2 linked regions of the Bombyx mori genome follow. The protein of the gene in region 1 purifies or fractionates together with the protein of each later gene. This does not show direct contact. Links are inferred from orthologs where the notes say so. Each region holds a gene or a part of one and is shown in the gene's direction. Other genes may lie near its edges.

Region 1 (4,163 bases):
TCATTTTGATTTCTCTTCAAACTTCCCGCCATGCGTTAGTACGTGTTGAGAGCAGGTACAGTGGTTCTCCCTATTTCTGCCGCGAATCGATCACGTGCTTTAAAGATCGAAGCGGCAGTTTGTACAAATCGATAGAGATGAACTAACGCATCGATCCTTAGTTTCGCAGCACTATAATCCGAAATGTTTTATTCGACAGGACTCAGTGGAGGAGGCTCTGAAGCACGATCGAACTCCTTTAGACGGCAGACCGATGTTCTTGTCTCGATACTCGGCCGATAAATCTAAGGCGACCTTCAAATACGCTACCACGATGGAGAAGAACAAGTTGTTCGTGACGGGCCTGCCTTACTCGCGCTGCAATAAGGAGTGTTTGACCGAAATATTCGAGAAGTACGGCAAACTGAAAGACATCCGGGTGGTCACTTTCAAGTGAGTATACACGTCATCGTCTAACATAGTGCTCTCTCTGTCTAGCACGAATCTAAAACGATTAGTGTCACGAAAGGAATTTATCGATTTTTTTTTAACCTACCTATAAGCTGATAAGCCTTTAGAAGCTATTTCAACTTTACTAGCGTGTAGGTGAGCTCAAGGGACTCAGACCGGAGATGTTGCTAACACTAACCCCAGCAAGAGCCGTGCTTCGCAGAATCTCCCATCGGATCGGAAACGCGACCCACTGAGAAGATTCGACGAGAAACTCAGAGGGCTGTGTCGCTTGCGACGAAGGGCTCGGCGAGCGAATTAACCCCTTCGTCGCAAGCGACGGGTTCGACGAGCGAATTAACCCGCAGACATAGCCCTCTGAGTTTCTCGTCGGATCTTCTCAGTGGGCCAGCTAATGACGTGTTTTGGGCACATTTCATAATAAAAGCATTAAATGAATGATAATTTTTACTAAAGTATATTTCGTTATTGGTGACCAACGTTGATTTACAAAAGAAATTCGTAAGACACTTTTTTACTACTCTATTTGAGAGGCGAGTTCATGAGCCTACGAGCTCCTGGTATTAAAACGGTCAAACCGAAGACATCAGGAGGTTTAGAGACCTCGCTCGCTCTGAGGTCGTAGTTTACAAAACACAGTTTGTTAATGAAATGACAATTATTCCAGAGACGGGAAACCGAAAGGTTTGGCGTACGTCGATTACGAGGACGAAGATTCCGCGGCCAGAGCCATAGCGGCGACGAACGGCACGACGGTGGGGGACAGGAAAATAGAGGTCGCGATCAGCCAGCCCCCGCCCCGCGCCGCCCGCCCGACCCCCGCCAGCCGCCCGCCCGCCGCCGGCATGTGAGCACACGCTTGTCACTTATGGCCATTTCGCGAAAGCGACACGACACGAGACGAATCCGTAGATACTGAGAATGAATCTATTTCTAGAAGACTTTTTTTCCCTACCTAAGCTGAGAGCCTTGAGAGGCTATATCAGCGTAGCCTTAACTAGTAGGTGAGCTCACGGGGCTCAAACCTGATGACGTTGCTAACACGAACCCTAGCAAGAGCCGTGCTTCGCAGAATCTACCACCGGATCGGAAACGCGACCCACTGAGAAGATCCGGCGAGAAACTGAGTGGGTGTGTCTGAGGGTTAATTTACTCGCCGAGCCCTTGGTCGCAAGCGACGGGTTCGACGAGAACGATGACCGGTGCTTGATTAAAACACCTATGTTGTTATTAATTTGTTTGGGATAAACTAGGTTTTTTTTCGAAAATTTGTTCGTTATTTTGATGTACTTTGTGATGATTGGTCTCTTTTAAAATGAAAACTTTATCAGGCGGATCCCATAAATAGAAAATAGATTTCGATTTGTTTCACGAAAATAAACCATTAGGTGAAAGCAACAACACTGAAATGACAATAGCAAATCAAATTATAACATAAAAAAAAGAAAAAAAGCTAGAGAACAAAATTCAGTCTTATCTCTTGCACTAACAAACTTTGCTGGCAGTGACGTCATGGCGTCCTGGTTTCGCCACTGTGGGATTGATATTCCCTCTTGAACCAATGTTCAACTTTCGTAATATGTTATTTCACAATTTACTACATCCTAAAAGAATCAATTTTTGATGTTCTTTCTATTTTAAATTTCGAACAACATTTTTCAAGTAAAAAAAAATTCAACATGACCGCTGAATTCATATTAAGATAATTAAAATTTTGTTAGTAAACCATAGGTGAACTATAATGAAATCTTTTGTAATTTTTTGTTAAAGGCGGCGGACGCAGCTAAGCTTCCTTCCTCGAGTTTTGCAGCAAGCCTCAACGAGCAAGGAGTCTTCGACAAACAGCCACGCCAACGGCACCGAGAAGCGACCTCTCTCTAATAGTGACTTTAAAAAAATGATTGCGTCATCTTCTTCTTCTCACGACAATTGAATCATAACATCACATTATTTTTAGGATTCATTTAAGTAATAAAAACATTCTCAATAATATCTTAATCTTAATTAAATTCTATCCTCGGTTTCAGCTTTAGTATACATTAAAATTTGATTCAAAAGTTTAAAATGAATCTATTTCACGGTCCGTCTGACGTTTTAAAGCTACGTAACCGCACGTGAATCGCTAATTACAGTGAATGCGATTTGTTTTGTGTAGATATTTTGCTTGCGGCTCACGTATATATGAGAATTAAAAGAGGGACAGACTAAATCGAATGTTATCTTTGATAATGTATGATAGAAGTTTGAATGATCGATAAAGGTGATTTACATTTGCGTTTTCTGATTAAGTGAATGTACATACATATATATCTATGAAAAATATTATAAATGTCGCATGCATTCTACAACGTCTCTCTGTGCTTCATTGTAAAATGTTCGATTTACGATATTACGTCGATGTATTTAAAAATACATTGACGTAATATCGAAGTCTGTCCCTAAATCGGCTTATAAATTTAAAAAAAAAGACTGTTGTGTTATTTTTGTTAAAACGATATTATCGTTGATTTGTGAATTGCAGGTCAAATGCAGTAGGCGAAAGTAGAAAACTATTTAAATTAAAACGTTTACTCAACTGAAGATGTGATTGTCGTTGTCTCATCTCAGTGAAATCTATTAATGTAAGTTAGTGTTAATATGTGAGTGTATTCGAAGAAAGTGAATAAAGTACTTGTTTTATTATTAGACAGTTTTATTTCAGTGAGTACTTGGGTGCTTGGTTATAACAATGACTTGTCGAAGTCGTCGTGGCCTAACGGATAAGACGTCCGGTGCATTCGTGTTGAGCGATGCATCGGTGTTCGAATCCCGCAGGCGGGTACCAATTTTTCTAATGAAATACGTACTCAACAAATGTTCACGATTGATTTCCACGGTGAAGGAATAACATCGTGTAATAAAAATGAAACCCGCAAAATTATAATTTGCGTAATTACTGGTGGTAGGACCTCTTGTGAGTCCGCACGGGTAGGTACCACCGCCCTGCCTATTTCTGCCGTGAAGCAGTAATGCGTTTCGGTTTGAAGGGTGGGGCAGCCGTTGTAACTATAATTGAGACCTTAGAACTAATATCTCAAGGTGGGTGGCGCATTTACGTTGTAGATGTCTATGGGCTCCAGTAACCACTTAACACCAGGTGGGCTGTGAGCTCGTCCACTCATCTAAGCAATAAAAAATAAAAAAACTTTGTTTCTGTGGTTGATTTGCAAAAGCTTGCTGTTCTACACATCTAGTGCTTTAATTAATATTGTTTGTTTTTATATAAACATAATTCTTTGTGTATTTCTGTAACTGACCTCCTAGAAATGGATTTTACTGTTTTGTTGTTTGAGTGCGACCTGTGCTCAGTGCGTGTTTTTTAACGTTCTCGATAGCGTAAAAGTTAACTCAAATTTGTATGAAGTTGGAACATGACTAGTAGAAAACGTGAGCAAACGTTCCAACTCCATACAAATTGAGACCGTCAGCGCAAAAGTGGCCTAAGCTTACCGTAGTTATTATGGAGGCAATTAGGTTTGAATTTTCATGAATTTGAATTTGAGTAGGCAAAAAAACAATACGCGCAAAAATAATGTTTACAAAGCTATGTGTTATCTATGGGTGAGAAACTATGGATAGGCCGATTTTGCATCAAAATTTATTATATTTTAAATAAATTTCAATATACGTCATATAAAGGGTCACTTTTGCGCTGATGGCCTCAATTCAAGTTA
Region 2 (3,331 bases), on another chromosome or scaffold:
TCATGACGCTGCTTATTTATAAATAAATGTTCCGAACTGTTTGCATAAAATGATGTCCTGCAATTCTGGCGTTTTTTCTTAAACTTGTGCACTTACACAAAATCTAAACGATTAACTGGCCATTCATTCATTCACGTTTGTAACTAAAAATAAACCATGATGTCAAGAAGAAAAGAAACACGTCCTTTTTAATAGCTCTAAATGGGTATCCTAACACAGTGATCACCTGATAATAAGTGGTTACCGGAACTTATAGATAGCATGGATACTCCTACTAATTCTAAAACAGAGATCAGTGTGAATCTAAATTACAATGGCTAGCGCACGTCTCATACTTCTGCTATTAGTACTACCGGTAAAAAATAAAAATAGGGAATATTAAAACTAAACCTATAACCCGACACCATTTTACTTTGTGAAAGCGTGCTACATCAATTCTGAATACTGACATACGAATAATACATAAATACAATAGCGATGTAGTTTCTCTGCTGAAACGGTGACTAACATCTAAACATTAGTACCTAATTATCAATGTCGTAACTCGACACTTGCCATATATTCATACTATTAATAGTAAGTATTGCGAAAAATAAGTTATTGCTTGTGTCTTGTGACTTGTTGTCCACAATATTGTAGAGAAGCATTACTCGGTAATATGTTGCACAGTGTATCACAGCGGTCGGGGAACTTTTTTAATTATTACCCCAAAATATATTTTTTTAAGTTGGTTGGTTGGGTAATTACCCCATGGCGAAGAACAAAAAAAATATGAAATCGCTTCTTTTTAGTATCTTTCATATTATAGCCCCGATGATAATTTTCAAAAGAAAAAACTAAAAATTTAATTTAAGCATCATTTATTCAATTTATCAATGTAATACATAGTAATACATAACGGTAATAATAGTAATATCTGTAATATACAGTTGAGGAAAAAAAATCACCCCCACAGAGAATATAAGTAATTGATAATTTCTTGTTATTTTATAATTCACACGATGCCTACAATAAAATACCTGGGTCAATCACGTGAACTTTGTGTTTCCAAATAATGTGTTCTATCTCATTCTCTCGCCGGCTGAATCCTATATATTTATGTGTTTGTGTCTCTATGGACTTATTTTTCGTTTCGTTTAATTTCGTTTCATCGAATTTGAAATCACAACGATTCTAAAGAAGCTTCACTTCAATATATACTTTTTACTCACAAAAGTTTCATTTTTACGCCCCAAAATTTCATTTTAGGTAATTTACCCCGGTTCCCTGGCTGCTGGTGTATCATAATAATTTGTGAATATATGATCCGTCAGATCTTTTCTACCCAATTTACACGCTTTATATTAACTTCACTTGTATGTATGTTTGCAACTGACTCCTTTAGACGCGATTTTGACCCACTTTAAACGGCCAGAATTCATTCAAACTTTGTAGATTTATCGAGGACCGATAAAAAAATACTAATTTGATAAGATTATTCCATTATTCAATTTATAAAATAAGATTTTGGTCAATTTATATAATTTTTATCTATACTCGATAAGGCAGGAATTGATGTTAATGTACTTAATAGTTTTAAAAATACGCTTTTAAAGAAAATTTAAAATACATAATAGTTTAAAAAACTAAAAAAGACACTTTATATAAAATTCAACTAAAAAATTAAAATAAATTTTAATAAATTTAAATTGAAAATAGTGTAAAATATATTTTATTTAAAAAAAAGAGTGGGGTGCTTTTTAAGATATTATTGAAATAATAATTCTTCTACTCATATCTGTCAGAAAAATATTTATAACTAATAACACCATGCACCCCATGCTTTTTTTACAATAAAATATATTTTACACTATATTCAATTTAAATTTATTAAAATTTATTTTCTATTTTTTTAGTTGAATTTTAGATAAAGCGTGTTTTTTATTTTTTTAAACTATTATTTATTATGTAGTAATCATGTAGGTAGTAATAGTAATTGTAGTAGCTATTATACTAATCTGTGTAGGTACACATTTCAAATAATAATCTGTGGCAGCTCCCTGAAATTTGAAAATTTCTTATAGTTGTTTGATGTTGATTATTACTAATTTGAATTTATAAATAAAATAATTAGAATGGCTTCTGGACTCGAAAATTACGTGAATCAAACAGTGTCGGTAATAACTTCGGATGGACGTAATTTTATTGGCACCCTTAAGGGCTTTGACCAAACAATAAATATTATTTTAGACGAATCTCACGAAAGAGTGTTTTCCTCCACAAGTGGCGTCGCTCAAGTAGTACTTGGACTTCACATAATCAGAGGAGACAATGTGGCAATAGTCGGGCAAATAGACGAGTCAATTGATAGCAGATTAGACCTCGGAAACATCAAGGCAGAACCACTTGGACCAATGGTACATTAGAACTAGTTAATAAATGTTTTGTTATCAATCGGTGTTTCATTTGGGCAAATAAATATCATATTTTGTATTCGTCTCTTGTCTTGATTTACTAATTCGCAAAGCAGAATACATATTTTCACCCATAAAAATTAATCTTAGCCCTGGCTTGGGTTTTCCATTCTCTGAATAGGATTTGTGATAGCATGCCCTGTAATACCTGTTAGAATAGACAACACCCTGGATATATGTTCATTTCTTTGAACATAATCCTTAGGAAGTTACTTATGATGCCTATTGTAAACTACCAAATTAAGGGTTATATGTTTTACTCTTTCACAAAATACACATGAAGGTTCAAATACATTAAATCCCTGTATAATATATTCACAGGAATCAAAAATATTCATAGGTACTAAAAGAACCTTATTTCTCATTTGCTAATGGGTCTCATCACAATCAGCTCAGTTAGCCTGTTACCAACACAATTTTTTTAATGTGTTTGTGCTCTAGTAACTGGCATATAAATAACCGTTTTAGAATAAGCATAATAGCATTTCTTTTAATCGGCAAAGCCAAATAAACAAGAAAAAGATGCTTGAATTTTTTATTTTAATCGTGTCACAAAAAATGTTTTAGCATTGGTAATTATTTCATTGGAAAAATCACATTCCATTGATTAAATAAAAAGGAGCAAGCCTCATTAATTACATAATTAAGAGAACAAATTCCGTAAAAACGGATACATATTCCTTTCAGTCTGTTTTAGGAAACTTCAAAATTATGCACACTACTCATATTCTGAATACCCAGAGGTCATTCATTTATTCATCTATTGTAAGTTTGTCAAATTACATGTATGCTTGTTTTTACCAGTTTGTTGTTACATAATATATATGTTTAATTATAATTCAATTGTTATTTGTTTATCTACTTACTGAACAAAAAAG

The links. The genes of interacting proteins can lie anywhere in the genome.
Region 2: the proteins of squamous cell carcinoma antigen recognized by T-cells 3 (region 1) and U6 snRNA-associated Sm-like protein LSm8 purify together in Homo sapiens (affinity purification with mass spectrometry; 4 studies listed by BioGRID and IntAct, counting the BioPlex papers as one, with this or other methods). This does not show direct contact. The link is inferred for Bombyx mori from reciprocal best matches to the Homo sapiens genes SART3 and LSM8.

The regions. Positions count from the first base shown.
Region 1 is NC_085122.1:6,462,088-6,466,250, reverse strand, and holds the end of squamous cell carcinoma antigen recognized by T-cells 3, read left to right. Parts: intron 1-199; coding exon 200-432; intron 433-1,117; coding exon 1,118-1,297; intron 1,298-2,220; coding exon 2,221-2,383; 3' UTR 2,384-3,132; downstream 3,133-4,163. UniProt on the Homo sapiens protein: U6 snRNP-binding protein that functions as a recycling factor of the splicing machinery. Promotes the initial reassembly of U4 and U6 snRNPs following their ejection from the spliceosome during its maturation.
Region 2 is NC_085112.1:10,370,162-10,373,492, forward strand, and holds U6 snRNA-associated Sm-like protein LSm8, read left to right. Parts: upstream 1-2,005; 5' UTR 2,006-2,114; coding exon 2,115-2,405; 3' UTR 2,406-2,433; downstream 2,434-3,331. UniProt on the Homo sapiens protein: Plays a role in pre-mRNA splicing as component of the U4/U6-U5 tri-snRNP complex that is involved in spliceosome assembly, and as component of the precatalytic spliceosome (spliceosome B complex).